Arabidopsis thaliana: one gene and its partner. The protein of the gene in region 2 interacts with the protein of the main gene of each other region in a pairwise test. Each region holds a gene or a part of one and is shown on either strand. Other genes may lie near its edges. The genes, in order: CAD1 and AT4G38550.

Region 1 (9,543 bases), on a different chromosome or scaffold from region 2:
ATGACGTGGCATGCACTTAAAAAGAAACAGCCATGAATACAAAAACGATGCGTCTTCCCCCACGCCGAGTTACCTCCGGCGCCGTCGCCGGCAAACAAACGGAATCCGCCGTGATAAATCCACCACCGCCGCCGACTAAATCCATCGTCAAGAAAACGCCGATCATCCCTCGACCAACTACCACCGCCACTGTAGCCTTAGCCGAGCCGGTTTGTTCGAATCAGCTCTTAGCCGGTTACTTGGCTCATGAGTTTCTCAACAATGGCACACTCTTCGGAGAGCTTTGGAATCCAACTAAAGCCCAAGCCGGCCCATTAACGACCCAATCTATTGACCCTAGAAAGAATAAGCCGAGCCATGATATAGAGCCGAGTGATCATAAACGGAGGAGATATGTGGAGGTTGCTAACATACTCCGGGTAGATGGGACCCATTTGCCCGGTATCGTTAACCCGTCACAGCTTGCCCGATTCCTTAAATTGTGATGCGTAAATCCACGTGGAGTCGTATTATTGGTTCGTCGTTTAGAAAAACAAAACAGCTGTAACACCGAAACATTCCTCTTCTCTATCTTTTATTTTTTGTCCATTAATGTTTTTTTGTAAAAAGCTCTCTCTTCATCGTCTTCATCGAAATTGACTCAGAAATGTTTTAGGGTTTTTTTGAATGTTGCAAATCTGGTCTAATTATGCTTTTAAATTGACCAAATTGAACCCAGATTCAACCATTTTTTTGTTATGTTATTATTACTTATTTTGAAGATGAACAAAAATGATTAATGCGTAATGATTTTAGATTACTTAACCTGTTGAATCAATCTTAGATCCGTGTTAATTCAACAATATGAATCTCCTGATCTGGGAAGCAAATAGAGTGAAGATCAGTCCCTTTGTATACTTTGATTCTTGCAAGAACTTATTAATATGATCTCTGTTTTGAGTTTGTAAAAATTTTACCTTTATTTTGAGATGATTATCAGAAGTTACTGGAAATGCTAATTATACCGATCATTTTTGAAGACACTAATTTACTTGAATTCTTAAACAGGAATTAAGAGCCTGAGTTTTTAGATGTAGTATATCATCTGATGATGATGATGCCCTTTACTTGACTAATTTTTTTTTTTTTTTCTATTTTTAGAATTGAATTCGTGTGTTTTGCTGGTTCTATAAAGTTTCTTAATCACAGGAAAAGTTCAAAGGACAATACTTGAATACTTGGGTAATTCAGAACATGGTTCTATGATCTCATTGTGGTTTGTTCGTTGGATTTTGTAGTTAGCAGTGGACAAAAAAAATGGTGATTATGTTTTCGATTCTTCAGTTCAATTTAAATAAGAATCTATCTATATCAACATTTGTGAAGCTCTTTGTTGTTTCTTGGTGATACAGAATCTTTGACTCCCAAGCATCACGGCATTGAGGTTAACTGCATTAACCAGTCAGGTCGAATATTTGTTATCCATTGACCATTTGTTTGATTATGGGTCAATGGAGTTTCAATGACTCTTCAGCTTCAATTGTTGCTTATAACTTACATTAGTTTTCTAATAGTATTATCTTTTGATCTGTTTCCTTATCACTCTTATGACTTATCTTATGCTCTTACTTTTCCATTTCGAACTCAAGCTTCTCATGTTTATTGAACGTTTTTGTTGGTGATTACTGTGTACATATGTAGGGAATCTGAGAACCTCTTGAATTTAAGTACATTTCTCATGGGTTGGTGAGTTCTTTAATTCTTCATATTTTATTTTTGCTCATCTTTAATTTTTTGAAATTTTGATCGAAGCAGAACAGCTGCAAATTTGAAAATCTCAGACATATCTAAAGCAATGTGACCCACATTGGTTGGAATAGAGGGTCTCTCAGTACAACCAACTGGGTATCCATATATGTAATGTCTATACACAATCTAGTTTTACTTCATATTGGTAGTATATTAAATATATATACTATAAGAATTATTAAAGTTAGTTGTAAATTGTAATGAATTAGAGCATCGTAAGTAAATAATCTTTTTTTTTCTTTTACCACAATAATTGTTATGCCTTTACAGAAATCAAAGAATACATGAAGGGAGCGAAACAAGAAAACACTAATACAAAGGGAAAACATGAACAAGGCCTTGAAATCAAAGAGCAGAACAATAAAGCTCAAAACCATATCAGTCTAAAACCAACAAAGTCTTGTAGGGGAAGAAATATCACCTTCACGATTAATCAAATTCCTCTTGCTTTTGAGTTTTGATAATTATCTTGTCCTATAACCAACAAGACCCTTTCACTAGCGATATAAGATCTTTCGTGATGCTTTTGGAAATCTCAATTGTAGTCCCATTGCAAGGTTCTAGTGTACATTCTACTTTCCATTCGATGAATTTCAAGAATCAACTATCAATTGACAAAACAGGGGAAACCAACGTGGATGCTCAATCGCCTCTACCAGTTGGTGAGAAGAAAGTTCAAAATGATCTGTTTTGTCTTAGGTTACTACGGCGTTCAGTAGCCCACAAGAAACTCATCAAATCCGTTTGAAAAGATTATGTACTTTGAGGATGATCATCTTCAAAATGATGGTTGAAAGTGTATTGTTCCAATAATATACCCTCAATTTCTAGAAGAATTTGTATTTTGGATAATAACAAATGGCGTAAAAAACAACAAACATACTCATTGAATATATACTTACAATGTCATGTACGAACCACATAAAACTAACTTTTCACTTAACTTTTCAAATTCCTAACAACATAAAACTTATATTTATCATATTATGTAGTATAACTTTTTTGCTTCTCCTTTTTCAACTCTCAATGTTTTGGTCATAGTATTTTTTTTTTCTATTTCCATAATTTTCTCAGAACAAGGCTACTGTTATTTAGGCCTTGTAATATTTTTGATGAATAACATTGCAATAACAGTGAAAATAACAAATTACAGTCAATTTGGATTGTAATATTGTCAATTAGGCTAAAACATATAATTCAAAAGTTGGATAGCTCGTAACACTTGCAAAATCTCTAAAAAAAATCCGAAACTTCCAATAAATAGTACTACATAATTCCAAGTTGGATTGTAATTTGGGAACCAAATGGTTATTCTACATAATTGATGATTGATTGAGACGTTTACGCTACAAATAAACCAAAGTCCTCTGACCATACCGGTTCAAGAAGTCTTCCCTCTCTCGCGCCAACTTTGACCAAAGACTAACGGTGACCACACGTCGTCAATCCTTTAGTCATCCAAACTCCAAAACCAAACAAAACCGAATATTTTGTTAACCTACTAGTTCATAAAATTCTACAACAAAAACCAAATTTCAATAACCGAAATTAAAATAATCCCCTTAAAATTTCGTAATAATGGTCTCATTTTCAGAAATTGTATTAATTCACATTAAATGTAGTGTACAAGTAATACCAACCAAACCGAAGCAACCCAAACCGGATGATTTTGACGAGGTCAACACTAACGGCTTTTCACATTAGAGTTGACCAAGAGAGAGCATTGACCTGAGAGAGTTCAAATAATTGAGTGAGTCTGTATATTAAATACGCAAATCATCATCTTCCCAATTTCGAATCTCACACACCGAAAGTTATTTTCGAATCCACTAACGAATCTTCCACAGCAAACACTTTTGTGTTCCTCTGTAATTTCTCAGTATATATAGATACCAAAACAAGCAGTGAAAAATGGCTATGGCGAGTTTATATCGGCGATCTCTTCCTTCTCCTCCGGCCATTGACTTTTCTTCCGCCGAAGGCAAGGTACGTACGGATCAAGTTTCGATTTCATGGATTGCGATTATAAACTAGGTTTTTGGTTACGCGAATTTTTCTGTGGTTCTGATGAATCACGATCTCCAGACTCCAATCTCGATTTCGTTTTTGTTTTTGTCTTCAATACTCATGAGATCTTACAATTCGTTCAGAACTTGAATCAAACGCGTTTTGTAAAATTAGATACTGGATTTGGATTTGAATTGTGAAAACACATAATGTAGTCGTTGACAGTGATCATCACTTGTGAACCTTCTAAGGTCAGTGACAGTGATCACAGAGATCTGAATATATCTCCAAGTAATTTCAGTGATAGTGTTTCTGGAAGTAGTACGCTTGGTGGTTATATTTACTGGAGATGTACTTGTTAATGTTAGCTGTGTTGATGTCTAAAAAGTATTTTTGATCATTTGTGGCAGCTAATCTTCAATGAAGCGCTTCAGAAAGGAACTATGGAAGGATTTTTCAGGTTGATTTCGTATTTTCAGACACAATCCGAACCTGCGTATTGTGGTTTGGCTAGTCTCTCAGTGGTGTTGAATGCTCTTTCTATCGATCCTGGACGTAAATGGAAAGGTATGCAAGATTGAAGCAAATTATGTCCACACTAAATAAATGATGGTTTTTTATAAAAAGTTTTCCTCTCTTCCAATAGGGCCTTGGAGGTGGTTTGATGAATCAATGTTGGATTGCTGCGAACCTCTGGAAGTAGTGAAGGAAAAAGGCATTTCATTTGGAAAAGTTGTCTGTTTGGCTCATTGTTCAGGAGCAAAAGTTGAGGCTTTCCGTACAAGTCAGAGCACCATTGATGATTTCCGCAAATTTGTCGTCAAATGCACGAGTTCTGAGAATTGTCATATGATCTCAACATATCACCGAGGTGTATTTAAGCAGGTAAAGCATAACTTTGTACACACTGTTTTGCTAAGGCTCAGTCATATTTTCAAGTTTTAAAACGTCTGGTGGCTATAATTGCAGACTGGGACTGGTCACTTTTCACCTATTGGTGGCTATAATGCTGAGAGAGATATGGCTTTGATTCTTGATGTTGCTCGTTTCAAGTATCCCCCTCACTGGGTTCCTCTTAAACTTCTTTGGGAAGCCATGGACAGTATTGATCAGTCAACAGGGAAACGTAGAGGGTACATAATCTTTTCTTATCTTTCGCTTAGGTTCTTACTGTATCATGGATGTAATATTTCTATATAATATGGTCTGATTTTTTTCTGTGTTGTTCTCAGGTTCATGCTCATATCTAGACCACACAGAGAACCCGGATTGCTCTATACTCTGGTATGTTCGATGCAATATAGGTTCTCTTTAAGTTTGCTAATATCTTTTTCTTCAATTTTGCTATTCTATTAATGCAATTTTCTCACTCACAATCTCTTCCACATGTATTGAATGAACTTGAGATCCTTATGAGCATTTTGGTAAGACAAAACTTGTGGATTGGTGATAATTTTGCTTTTATATATCTATACCAGAGCTGCAAGGATGAAAGCTGGATCGAAATAGCCAAGTATTTGAAGGAAGATGTTCCTCGTCTTGTAAGTTCACAGCATGTAGATTCTGTGGAGAAAATCATATCAGTTGTGTTCAAGTCACTTCCATCAAATTTCAACCAATTCATCAGATGGGTGGCTGAGATCCGAATTACAGAGGACTCAAACCAAAATCTCAGCGCAGAGGAGAAGTCTAGGCTGAAACTAAAGGTATCTTCAGGATAATTTTTCATAGAAACCTAAAGCTGCATGGAAACTGTTCTGTTGGTTTATGTGACACATGATTTTAATCATAACTTTAATCTACCGCAGCAATTGGTGCTGAAGGAAGTGCACGAAACTGAACTGTTCAAACACATCAATAAGTTCTTATCCACAGTGGGTTATGAAGACAGTCTGACTTATGCTGCTGCAAAGGCTTGTTGCCAAGGAGCTGAAATCTTATCCGGAAGCCCATCAAAAGAGTTTTGTTGTCGGGAAACTTGCGTGAAATGCATCAAAGGTATGTCGCCATGTCGATTCTTCAAATTTCTTATCATAGTTAAAAGTTTTGGTGTTAGATCAACTGTTAATTTTTTGTTTCCTATTAAGGTCCTGATGACTCTGAAGGCACGGTGGTGACTGGAGTTGTGGTGCGTGATGGGAATGAACAAAAGGTTGATCTGTTAGTGCCATCGACGCAAACTGAGTGTGAATGTGGTCCTGAAGCAACTTATCCAGCAGGAAACGATGTGTTCACTGCACTTCTATTGGCTTTACCTCCACAGACATGGTCAGGGATCAAAGACCAAGCTCTTATGCATGAAATGAAGCAGCTCATTTCCATGGCTTCCCTCCCAACTTTGCTTCAAGAAGAGGTAACGCTTTTACCAATTCTATTTATCGGTAATCATCAAGAGTCACGGTTCTCTCTCTAGTGGAAAATGGGATCTTTGTACTTGAGATATATAAGTCTTTTGGAAAAGAAACAAATAACTTAATCTAAGTTGAGATTGACAATGACTATTTTCGAGTTCATCCTTAGATATAGCTAAATCAAATGCCGAATCTAAATGAGTACTTGGTGAAATGAATCTGTGAAGCAGATGAGTAACGTGGTGAATTTGGTGTAAATGCAGGTATTGCATCTTCGACGGCAACTTCAGCTGCTAAAACGATGCCAAGAGAACAAGGAAGAGGATGATCTCGCTGCTCCTGCCTATTAGTTCATTGTCCCAAATCCTCTCTCTTCCCCATTTGAATCCCACGTTCTCAACACTTAATTGTTAGAAAGTCTCTTTATTCTCTGTACGATTCAAACTCTATTTGCAATGAGAGATATATGTAACTTGCATTCTATAAATTGTTAATCACAATAAGTTAAGAATCCTAGAATCATATTTCATCACACTCAAATGCAGATTATGAATCCACTATCCACAAATAAGTACCAAAGGCTTACATTCAAAACAACAGTATCCCTTAGTCCCAACTGTGTACACTGTTTTGCTAAGGATCATTCGTATTAGACAGTCAAATTTTGAATCCGGATTCTAACAGATCCTATTGCAGACTGGATCTGGTCACTTTTTCACCGATCAGTGGCTATAAATACTGACAGAGATATGGTTTTGATTCTTAGAAAATCTCTTTATTCTATGTATGATTCAGAGAGATTTTCAAATCTCATTCTCCTACTTAAATGTTCATTGTGGCCATCAATATCTTCACTTGACTTGATTATCTAATCTCTGGTCACAGCGAGATGCAGTGACACAAGTGCATGGAACTGTAACTGTTGGAGCACGTCAGAAAGTTCTTAACTTCAGGAGCTCTTATCTTATCTGGAAGCTCATCGAAAGACTTCTATTGTCGAGATAGTTCTGTTAAATGCATTGATGCCTGGGGTTGAGGAAGCTAAAGTGACAGCAGGGATGGTAGTTAATACCAATAATGAACAAGAGGTTGGCCTATTGGTGCCGTCAACCCAATCTGTCACCAAAGGTTCTGAGTATGGTCCAGAAGCAAAGTACATAGCAGGAAACGATGTCATCACTGCACTTCTGTTCGCTTTACCTCCACAGACATGGATAAGGACCAAAATCCAGATCTTTCAGAACAAAATGAAGAATCTCGTTTCCATTGGTACCCTCTTCACTATGATCAGCCTAAATAAGATCAATCTCAGCAAAACCAATAACATATGCAATCTAATATAATATATAAGTTATTAACCATAATCATTACACTCTACTGCAGATTATGAATCAACTCTCACACACACATACACAAAGTAAGTAACATTAAGACCCTAAAATCCTCAAAAGTCTATACCTCTTATCACCATTCCAAAGACCGAATCCTGCGTAAAAACCGTGGTGGCTGCTGCTTCGGTTTCTCAACAACAGGAATCACAAACTCCATCAACTTCTGGTATCTCTCTTTCCTCTTATCTTCAATCTCCTTAGAAAGCAACTCATTCTCTTCCTCAAGCTTCGCAGCCAAAGCTTCTAACTCAACTTGATAAGCTTGTTTCCTCTCTCTAGACCTAGCTGCAGATTCACGATTCTTAATCATCCTTCTCTGTCTCTGTGCAGCTGCTTTATCCAATGGCTCAACCATCACTCTCGCTCTCTTCCCTCTAGCTCCTCCTCCGTAAACATCTAAACCATTCCCAAACGCAACTATTGATCCTTCTACTTTATCAATCATCTGAAACGGATTATGCGGCGGTGCAGAATGATCGAATCCGTAATTCGTCACCGGAATCTTCACATCCAAATCCTCCGCCGACGCCGTCACCGCTGTTTCGTCTTCCACCGCAGCTTTCGCTAGAAAATCCTCTAACGTCATTATCTCTTCCGACGTCTCTTCCTTCATCCCTTTACCTTCTCCTGATACCATCTCTCTCCAAATCTCATCAACACTCTTCCCACCACGCGTCGTCTCCGTTCCTCCGCCGTGATCCACAACATCAGAAGCCGTCGTTGTTGTTATCTCCATTGGTGCTGGAGAAGCATCCATCAGATTTATCGACGCATCTAAGAGTGAAGATTCCGTTGGTGCTGGTGGATCTGATGCGAAAGTATCGTGTAAAATCCCTTCGACCGTCATCGAATTTGAACTGTATAATCCGTCGTTTCTTCCGCCGTAACCGACACTTGTTAGATCTCGCCGGAACTGTTGTTGAGGTCTTATAGACGAAGAAGAAGTAGAAGCAGAAGAGATGCGACGAGATAGATCCGAGTTTCTCGAATTTGAAGAACGCATCACCTGAAACGACGTCATTTCTGGAGAAGATGATGAACAAGTTCCGTTTGTTTCGTCCTCTTTCGCCGGAATCGGATCAGAGAATCACTCTGTTTCTTTGACTCCGCCAAATGTTGAACTTTACAGAAGCAGAGATTAGGGCTTTTTGTGTCGAATTGAGAACCTTTGAGAACTTTTGGTAATTTATCCCAAATTGTAATTAATTGACTTTTATTACTTTTTTAAAATACCACGCGCATATGTGGCACGTGAGTTTTAATTTTTAGACTTACCAAAGAAAAGAGCTGATTTTGGTAAATTGGATAAGGTTAAAATCAAAATGGATAAGATTTTCTAACTTTTGGAGCGCGTGGGAAGTTTTGTCGCGTGTCATCAAACTGTAGTTGTCAAACTTGCATCAATTATTTCAAGATCATTAATGTATTATAACTTGACTATTATTACTTGAATTTAGTTAAGGTAATTTAATGACGTTATTTTAACTCGATGGTAGTTGTTTTTAGAGAATATTACACTGTAAGATATTTTTTAAAAAACATTTTTATGGTTAGACACTTTTTAAAGATAAAGCATTTTGAATAGATGATTTGACTCATTTATCGTCTAATCACATATCGTTTTATCTCTCTCCTTCTCTTATTTATTCTCTCTTTTTCTTTTACTTTATCGAGAAATAAACAAAAATCAAGCCAAAAAATAGATTTCTTCCTTTTTCCTTCTTCCATCTTCAACAAATCATCCGCTTTTATGAGAAAGAGAGATTGAAATTCAGCTTTTTAAATTTTCCACATCTGCTTTGATCTGACTTGAAGGAGAATTTTTTCAAACCATCAATTTGAGAATCTGCCCGATCTGGCTGATTTAGTTACATGACTCGTTGAATAATTGAATTGGATTTGCGGTTTGGTTTTTGTTTTATGTTTTTGTTATTTGTTGCAAAATTAATCTGATTACTTGCTCTTTAATTCTTTGTCTTTCTTCTCCAATTTCATATTCGAGATTA
Region 2 (9,420 bases):
AAGCAGCATATCCCGTTCACGCCCTTCCTTCTCCACCACCGTTGTCTCGTGTCCATCATAGTGGTGGGCCGCTTCAAGAATCTCGTTCAGGATCTCCCTGAGCCAACCAGCTCTGATTTTAACAGACTCTGCGTCTATAACAACCGATAGCATTTCCAACACGCGTGCCTGCTTCAATTTCTTCAGGGGCGTCGATTGGAGTTCAAGAACCACCGCGGCTAGAGTCTCAAGCGAGTAAGATTTTGTGCGCAGTGACTGAAGTTTGGAACCGGACGCTATGTCTCCATGCTTGTCCAGGATTTTCTGCAGAGTGGACGAGACGCTCGCTCTGACCTTGTAGCTTCCTACAGAGACATACGACTCTGAAATCATTGACTTCATTTCCTCTCCTGTTTCGTAAATCTTTAACGCTTTCATGCATTCGATCTCAGATGGAGTAAAGCTATGGCATTCGACAGGCAGCTGTAATGGCTCCTTCGATTGTTTGTCTAGTGGTGTACGGGATTTTTGGGGAAGCATCTGCAGGAGAGATGAAGGAAAATTTCTTGTGATTATTTGAGCAATACTCTTCTTGATAAATAGAGCCATCCAAGAGTGGAAAGTTATTCTTGTTGATCAGACTCATGTTTCTGCGGTACTAATTAAGATAAATGACAGATGCTAAAGCAGAGAGACAGACCAATACCGTAATGGATCTTGATGTCAGATTTTCTTGAGGGGACAAAAGAATATCGGGATAAAGTATAACGCATTTGTCTCTGTCTTTAGTGTACACTGAATCCGCTTTATTAGCATGATATTTGGATGCTTGAGCAGCGTAATGATAGTTACCACCGATGTTGAAGGATGTTGGCTGAGTTTGGGGGATATGAGGCCGAGTTTCACCTTTCTGAGGTGATTTGAGACCAGCACTTTCAAGGGATCTGTGTGGTACCGGCTGAGTTTGTGGGATCCTAGACCTGGGTGGTTCAAGGTAACTTCCTCTAGGTTCTGGAGTCTTTGAGCGTGGTCCTTGGTTTCTTGTCCTGTGTTCTGATTTCCTTGGCCTAGTATCAGGACTTAGAGGTGTCTTAAGCCGAGTCTTAGATGGCATTTCATCAAGAATTGGAGCTTCACCTTCACGGTGATCGATCTTCACATCGAAAACAAGAGCCAAAATAAACATCCAAAAGATGTGCACTTAACAAAGTTTATATAGATAACACTGACCGAGAATAAATGCTCACCCTTGATGAGAAACAATCTTTCTTGCAATACACAGCGAAAGAAGGCGACATGGGGAGCCAATTGATTCCCGGGGCAGTTTCGTTCCCATGTAAAGTGGAACGTGGTGTGGGCAAGTTTGCATTGAAAGAGTCATCGGAGGAAGAGAAGGAGGGGGACTCGTCTGACTCATCCATTCTTTTTCCGTAATAACTCGGAAGTGGTGATCTGTTTCCCGCAATAACACGAACCGGACTGGTAAGAGGCGTTTCCTTGCTACAAGCTGGTTTACCAAAGCCTTAGACAAAGAGACAAAGTTCCACAGTTTCTTTAATCTATATAACAAGTACAGTCATCTTGAAATGCAAACAAAATGAGAAGCTTCTTACCAAACCGTTTTTTCTCCTTCTTGGGGACATCTCCGGAGCTTATTCTCTTGAAACACTGATCGTGGCACTCGTGGTAGGGATTTCCTGAGTTAGGACAATCATGATGTACTATTCCAGACATGCCACTACCCTCTCAGAGACTTGGAGATCAAAACTTAGAACCTGACTAATTAACAGAGAAGCGTATATCTTTCTCTCTCTCTCTGGAAAGATCCTCCACACGAAGAAAGTGAGAAGTTGTTATAAAAGTGAGGGTTTACGCTAACAGGAAAAAAGCAAAGAAGTTTACAACCAAAGACAGAGTCAAAAGGTTTCAGAGGAAGAAGGAAGGAAATTGAGATGGATGATTGTGATGGAATGAATAGGTCTGAGAACACGACACAGAATTGACTTGAAGGATTCACGAAATGAGGAAATTTCAGAAGTAAAGAACAAATTGTTGAAATCTGAGGCTGAAAGGAGACGGATGTTTTGTTTTTTCTTTGCAATGCATACAAGAGACTGAGAGAGTACTGCTATAGTTTGTTTGTTTGCTATAACAAGTGTTGACCACCAAGTCAATCAAGTTTTGATATCACAGAAGATATAAACAAGAGTAAAATGCACATACATAAATATATAGCTTGAAACACACGCATGCATATTATTACAATGTATTGAGATGCTTGACTCTGAAACAATCTACGCTTCTGCAATAGCTGACCTTGACTCTCAACATTCAACATAAAAGCTTTTTAAATCTTTTTAAGAATTACACTAATGGCCCCAAACTTTAAATTTATAAACATTTCATGTCAATAGAAAATAATTGAATAATGAGATCCAAAACGGAAGAAATTGGAGACGGAGCTAAAGGTGGAGAAGGACGGCTTCTCCTTGGAATTTGTGGACTTTGGACTGGAAGAGGTCGAGATTCTTGTTCAATTTCGAACCTTTCATCTCCAGCTGCCCTAGCCTCCCTGCGACCACCGTCACCTTCTCTCTGCATTCTTTGATTTCCTTCTCCCTCTTCACCAGCTCCGCCGTCATCTCCTCCATCTCCCCCTTTTTCGCCGTCAGATCTCTCTCGCACACCTCTTTCTCCACCTTCGCCGTGTCGTACTGCCCGAAATACTCCACCGCCTCCGCCAGTTCCGTTACCGCTGTCTTTAGCCACGACACGTTGATTTTCACCGACTCCATGTCTTTCACCACCGCCGCGATCTCCGCCACGCGCGTTTTCGTCAAATCCCTCAGAACCGTCTTTTTCAGCTCCATCACCACAGCGGCTAGGGATTCCAGGTAATAAGACCGAGTTGCCATTGCTTGCAGCTTCGAGGAGGCTGCGATGTCGCCGTGCTTGTCGATGATCGCCTGCAGGGTTTCCGACACGCTCTGCCTCACTCTGTAATTCGCGACGGATACGTAAGCCTCGGATATCATTGATTGACTCTCTTCCTTGCCGCTTTCGTAGTTCTTGAGTCCTCGCATTTTGGTAATCTCCTGCATTGTGAAGCTTTGTGACTCGTCAGGCAGCTCCGGCGGCTCGAACTGCTTGTCTTGCTCATAGGTCTCGGCCGCAACTATCTGGTAGTTGTGGTGAACAGGCTGCAGGTTTAAAGCATTGTCATTTCTTTGTTTTTTAGGCATTTCAGAATCATTAGTGACTGTGAGAGAGAGAGAGAGAGAGTTGGGAAAGGATTCACACCGTGCTGTTCTCGGATACGATCCTGGAACGAAGTGGGCTGCGGATTTCTGGATAGAGGTAGGTGGAGTGATTATCGTCGTCGCTGGATGAATAGTATGGTCCATGAACGGGACTCGGAGGAGCGCTCTTCTGGTGTATTAAGTCGCCATCTAGCTCATACATTGCCTCGAAATCCTCGTTATCCTGGTGGCTTCTACGATGGTCAGGCTGCACAATTAGAGAGAAAATTCAATATATGTGACTCACTGTCAAGAGGACGTTTTTTATCACTAGGAAGAAGCTGAAACAAAAACAATGAGCCAGACTTAAGATTTTTTGAGTACCGTTCTGTATGGTTGTGGTGGTGGTGGTGAATGGCTTGCTGCTGGATGCAATGGGCTAGGTGGAGAGCTGTTTCGTGGTGTTACATCGTCATCTTGCTCATAAAAGTCCTCAATTTGCTCTTTACCATGGTTACTACGTTGATCAGACTGCAGCATAACAAGAACATATTCTATTGTCAGTCTAAGTGACTCACTAGAAAGAGAATTTGATTTACTTATCCCCAAAAAGAAGCCAGTATCGAGTTTTTGAGTACCGACCGTTTTGTATGCTGCTGGATGAAACGGGCTCGGTGGAGAGCTGTTTCGCGGTGTGACATCACCATCTTGCTCGTACAGGTCCTCAAATTGCTCTTTATCATAGTTACTACGACGATCAGGCTGCAATTAGAGAGAGAGAGTTTATGTCATCTATGTGGCTCATCGTGTACTCAAGAATCACGAGCAAGACTTACCGTTCTGTATGGTGGTGGAGAGCGGCTTCCAGCTGGATGGAATGGGCTCCCTGGAGCGCTATTCTGCAGCATGGTGTTGGCCTCAGGCTCATACATGTCGTAGTGGTCTCTGCGGCGATCAGGCTGAAATCAAGCATTTAAAAAGCAATGCATTCTATTTAGTGATTGATGGGTTTGAATACGAAGCAGGTCATCAGAAGTTTAGGTTATTAGTACCGTGTGGAATGGAGATGGAGAAGGGCTTCTGAATGGGTGAAATGGGCTCGCATTGCTTCGGGTATCTGCTTCATACATTCGATCCTGGTGTTCTCGACGATACTCGGTTGATTTCCTAGGACGTTCAGGCTGCAGGTTTAGAGAGAATGGTATCAGGAAACAAACGGTGGAGACAGTAGAAGACTCGAATCAGAAGAAGCAGAAAGTACCGTGCGGTTTCCAGCTGGATGATATGGGCTGGAAGGAGCGTTGGTCTCTGGCTCATAACTCATGGCCTCCATTCTTTCTCTACCGTGGTCTCGACGATGGTCGGGCTGCAATTGAGGAGAAGGCAAACACAGTATTAGATACGTATACTACGTTTGTTTCAAATAAACTCAATTGGTTTTGGGGAATGAAACAGGGGATAGATGAGTACCGTGCCGTATCCATACACGGGAGGCCTAGGGTGGGAGTTGGGGACGCGTTCAGAGGCAGGCTGTTTCCAGTATGGTCTTTGTTCATTGGACATGGGGAAATCGTACTCTGTTTCGGCTCTTTTGTTTGAAAGATACGATGGGGGCGGGGATCTAGCGCCGGGGGGATGAGCAGGGCTGCCCGGAGTGCTCTTGCTGACAGTTTTCTTGCCAAAGAGTCCTGAAGAGAAAGTTTGGATATGCTAAGAGGATGATGATAGTAAATACTAAATAGGATCAGTTTGAGAAAGTCTAGTCTTTCACCATCCCCAGCGAGAGTTAAACATTCCGGCTATTATCTTAGATTCCCAAAAAAGGGAGTTACCTGATGATTTTTTGCTATCTTTCTTAGCTTTGCTTGAAGTGAAGAAGTCCATATTGGGTTGAGGCAAAGGATGGGATTGAGAAATGATCTGTGGTTAGACCGGAACATAAGAAGGCATGCAAATTAGTACCTTGGTTGTATAGTAATTATACATATGTTAGGAATTCATAAGAGTGAGTACCTTGCTGCTGGAGGATCTAAAGTTGCCGGAGAAGACTTTTTGGTTCGTTTCGTTTCTGTTCTTCAACGCGTCATACTACGACTGGTATATATGATTCGATAGATATAATGGAGTCAGAGGCCCCTTTAAGTCTGTGTATTATGGATATTTTTATAAACAAGAAAATGGCAATTGGAAAAGTCTACGATAACCATTCATTTGACTATTGACTTATAAATTATTACAAACAAACAAATTCCTAAAGATATAACAATATTGGTCAGACTCAGATCTAAATCACATAATTGTTTGTTTTCGTTTTTCTTTATCAATCAAGTGGCAGCAACCATGACTTGGTCAATAGTGGCGACCTTTCTCCTGTATTCAAATGGGCCCATAAGCAGTCACAAAATGGGCCTTAAAATAGAAAAAAGAAAGGCCCAAATAGAGGAGAAATTCCTTAAAAACCCAGCCCCGCCCAGATGATCACATGCGTCTTCATCGCTGCTCGCCATCGCCGGCCACCGGGGTTGCCGCTGATGCGATTCGATCCAGTGGGAACTTTTGTCACCTTGCCTCTTCTCTCTTTCCTAACACTCAAATCTCTCCTCAGCCTTCAGGTTCCTTTTCTTTTTCTTTCTGAATCCATTCCTGTTTGAACGAGGCTCGCATACGTTATAATGTAATAAACATAACTTCTGCTATGGTTCAATTGAAGTAGTCATTTTCTTTTCTCATTCATCACTTGTTGATATCAGAGCTTTAGATTGCCGTAAAAAATAAAAGAGCTTCTTGTTCACTACACAAACTTACTTTATTAATTCTGAGTTTGTTATATGAAATAACACTAAACAGATAGATAGTCTTTGAAGCAAACCAAAGGTGAAAACTGTTCTGCAGTTGGTGATGACAAGAAGAATCACAAGCTTTTGACTTATGTTTGAGAATCATCATGGGACAAGGCTTCCGCAATCGAAATGGGACTTTTTCAGCAGCATCCTAGAAAGGTAAGACGACAGGAACCTGTCTCTGAACATGTTCATCCACTTCCCTCTGCTCTGCTGTATGAATCCTACTGTATATGCCGTTGTTATAAGATCAATGCTTCTCCATTTCCTTTCTCCTGCATACTTCTTCAAACCTTCTTCAATCCTCTTATAACCCTCTTCTTCATTTTCTTCTGTTTCACCTTTCAGACTCTTTGCCTTTATCGCTTCACCTAGACAACGAGCAAGGATAACTCCATCCTCCATGGCTGAGCAACCTCCTTGTCCGATATCAGGAGTCATTGGGTGAAGTGCATCTCCTGCAACGCACACGTTGTCTTTTGTGATGTTTGACCATAGCAGTTCCCATGGAGGTCGGTACTTCAGTTGAGACATCACCATGCTATCAAGATCAGTGGTCTCCACCACATTCTTAATGTTTTCAGGCAAGTCTTTGATCTTGTTCAGCACAAACTCTTTGAGGATTTCCGAATTTGTCTCCTCATCTAACAAGCGCAAGGAGAAGAGTCAAAGACAGTAGTATGATATGAACAAGAAGCTGCTTGTAGTTAGATATTAGATATCAGGTAAAGTTGCATATCTTCACCTATATCAGTGGAGGTGTGGGTTAGGAACCAGTAGACAGTGTTGTGGTCACATGGGATAAAACCGGAACGAACGCCGTCTCCATAAAACTGGAAGAACCTTTTCCCAAATCCATGGCCTTCCGGAAAATGTGTGAGCCCTCGGATTGCTAACCGGGCAGTTGTAGCGGGATTTTTGAAGCCTAGCCACTTACCAACCACTGAGTACACTCCATCGCACCCTACCAAAACCTGCATTTCGTTTAGAAACCCTACAATTCCGTAGCAAGACCAGGCCTCACATGGTTTACAGAGGACAAGTAGTTATTTACCTTGGTTTTGAGAATGGTCCCGTCGGAGAGATGAACCTTCTTGTAGCATCCAGACAATTCAATATGAACAACCTTAGACGAAAACCTGATGGTCTCTTCAGGCAACTCACCTGCTAGAGCCTCTAACAACAGCTTCCTCTGTACGCATCGAGACTCATATTCTCTGACAAAATCATTCAACAATATTATTGAAGTTATCTTATTTATTGTTTTAACATTCATATGCTCTGTGCAGAGAAGAAGAAACATACTCGGATTCTGGAAACAGCATCTCTGTGGGAGGAGTTCCTGCAGAAATTGTTCCAACCACCCATCTGCAGCAAAATCAAAGATGAGTCCCCTTTTTTACTGAGCTGATTATATATGAATAGTAATAATAGTGTTAGTTTGATACCCTTCAAGGCGATCATGGAGACTGCGAATATGCTGAGAAACGCCGAGAGCTTCCATGGCCTTCCAAGCATTGAACCAAGTGGTAAATGCAAATCCTGTCGCTCTCAGTGTCTCCGAAGATTCCAGCACCATGCTTCTGATCCCAAGCCTGTGACACACACCACTTTAGTTAACTTACTCTGCTTAATAACAACTCAAAAGGCACGCCACACACACCTGTGTAGTCCAACAGCGGTGGAAAGGCCGGAGATACCGGCGCCAACGATGATGATATCTGGGCTGCCTTCTTCTTCCATGGTGCGTTGATGATCTTAGAAAGAAAGCTCTGTTTTTCTTCCTCTCTAGTATTTATTTTTAACTTTCAAGTAAACAAAAAGAAATGTGGTTGAAGTTGGCAAGTCAAACAAGGCACCCCGTTCTAGGCAGGCGGCTACAGTCATCAAATATCGAATCTTTAATAGTATTTATATGTTGTCACACTTTATCCCGTTCTAGCTAGGGCGCAAATAATTGTACATTATAAATTTATAAACGTGCAAACAGAGATACACACTGTGTGGCTTATTTCGGAAAGAAAACGAGATTCAACGAAACGTATAAGGAGGATCCAAGGCGAAGCTGACGAGAAGCCTCGTGTTCTTGTAGGCCTTGCCTGTTCGATCGTGAAGCCGGACGGCTCTAACTCCGGACTTCAGTTCCGGCAGAGGAAGACATGTCTGTCCTGCGAAATCATTCTGGGTGTCATTGTCGTAGTCTTGGACTTTGAACCACAGAAGCGCCAGTTCTGGAACAGACAGCTGAAACAGGAACTCGTCGTTGCCCCATATAGGAAACCACTGATCGACAGCTGTTTCCGTTCTGTATGAGACCGTGTCTCTCGGTACTCCTGCTATTCCAATCTGATGCAGCAAATGCAACACACACACAGTTACGAAGAAATCTAGTTTAAAAGAAGAGTAGTAGTTGTTGTTTACCTTGACGAAGAAATCTGGAGGAGAGTATTGATCAAAGTGTGTATGATGGAAATCCAAATCCCATCCTTCGCCAGTGTAAATCTTAACCTTAAGAGTGGTCTTAATGGGAAACCTTTTGCAAGGGTCGAAGAGTGTGTGCTCGTCTAGCAAGATGCGAGGCTTTTTAACGTACCCACATCCACCATTCCCCCTGAACATTCCTTGCATTATCCATAGTTGCTTCCCATGTCCCTTTTCAACACAAATATTATTCAACCATTTTTTAACAAGTCAAACGATGATGAGCCAGTTCCACTTACTTGCATGTTAAAAGCAACCATTTGAGCACCGTGTGTCCACCCAACATGAGGATCGTAGTTTGACGAGTCCACTCTTGTGCCCTTTGGATATATCCTCACCAGATTCCTCTGTGTAAACCTGTTTTTGTTTTTTTTCAAACTCTGACTCAGGTTCATCTTATAACTCTTGAGTCGAAAAAGGTTCAACATTATGACTCCTCTCACTCTATATTTTACCTGACAAGATCCGTTCCTCTGGTCCTAACCATAGTGTCTAGCCACTGCTCGTCCATGCTGACCCGTATAGGCTTCTCTGGATCATCACTCAAGCAATCCTTTGAAGGATCTTTGCAGTTTGCAGCGTGGATTGCTATCAAGTCTCTATATCCTACAGCTTCACTCTCCATATCTTTATATTCTTCAAGAATCTTGTTCGCTACTCTGTTCCACGAAGTCTCTTTAACCGTTGGAGTTCTTGTGGTGTGTACAGTTTTGCTCTCAAGATACTCCTTTGGAGGCTTCGTAGAGATCAGGATCTTCCCCTTAAGTTCTTCTGGTGATGGAAAATGCTTAAAACTCTCTGAGACACGACGAAACAGCATCCCTCTGTATGTTTTAGTTAACATCTACAAACATAGAATCAATCAAATTTGTAAATCACTC

The links.
Region 1: the proteins of AT4G38550 (region 2) and CAD1 interact in a two-hybrid assay, tested with the Arabidopsis thaliana proteins (one large-scale study listed by BioGRID).

The regions. Positions count from the first base shown.
Region 1 is NC_003076.8:17,731,177-17,740,719, forward strand, and holds CAD1 (phytochelatin synthase 1 (PCS1)), read left to right. Parts: upstream 1-3,529; 5' UTR 3,530-3,699; coding exon 3,700-3,774; exon of another isoform or gene 3,775-4,046; intron 4,047-4,205; coding exon 4,206-4,362; intron 4,363-4,441; coding exon 4,442-4,680; intron 4,681-4,764; coding exon 4,765-4,928; intron 4,929-5,027; coding exon 5,028-5,079; intron 5,080-5,273; coding exon 5,274-5,501; intron 5,502-5,603; coding exon 5,604-5,793; intron 5,794-5,882; coding exon 5,883-6,148; intron 6,149-6,409; coding exon 6,410-6,496; 3' UTR 6,497-6,683; downstream 6,684-9,543. Other genes in the region: AT5G44060 (embryo sac development arrest protein), read left to right, coding at 33-485; AT5G44065 (uncharacterized protein), read left to right, coding at 2,309-2,536; AT5G44080 (Basic-leucine zipper (bZIP) transcription factor family protein), read right to left, coding at 7,611-8,558. UniProt on the Arabidopsis thaliana protein: Involved in the synthesis of phytochelatins (PC) and homophytochelatins (hPC), the heavy-metal-binding peptides of plants. Also involved in glutathione-conjugates degradation.
Region 2 is NC_003075.7:18,021,568-18,030,987, reverse strand, and holds AT4G38550 (phospholipase-like protein (PEARLI 4) family protein), read right to left. Parts: upstream 5,103-9,420; coding exon 5,051-5,102; exon of another isoform or gene 4,907-5,050; coding exon 4,689-4,906; exon of another isoform or gene 4,585-4,688; coding exon 4,480-4,584; exon of another isoform or gene 4,400-4,479; coding exon 4,271-4,399; exon of another isoform or gene 4,178-4,270; coding exon 4,055-4,177; exon of another isoform or gene 3,981-4,054; coding exon 3,603-3,980; exon of another isoform or gene 3,487-3,602; coding exon 3,280-3,486; exon of another isoform or gene 3,180-3,279; coding exon 2,442-3,179; 3' UTR 2,148-2,441; downstream 1-2,147. Other genes in the region: AT4G38560 (phospholipase-like protein (PEARLI 4) family protein), read right to left, coding at 1-519, 680-1,132, 1,227-1,501, 1,593-1,713; AT4G38540 (FAD/NAD(P)-binding oxidoreductase family protein), read right to left, coding at 6,161-6,702, 6,804-7,032, 7,113-7,275, 7,364-7,426, 7,507-7,653, 7,722-7,801; PLC1 (phospholipase C1), read right to left, coding at 8,090-8,404, 8,480-8,710, 8,779-8,896, 8,995-9,383.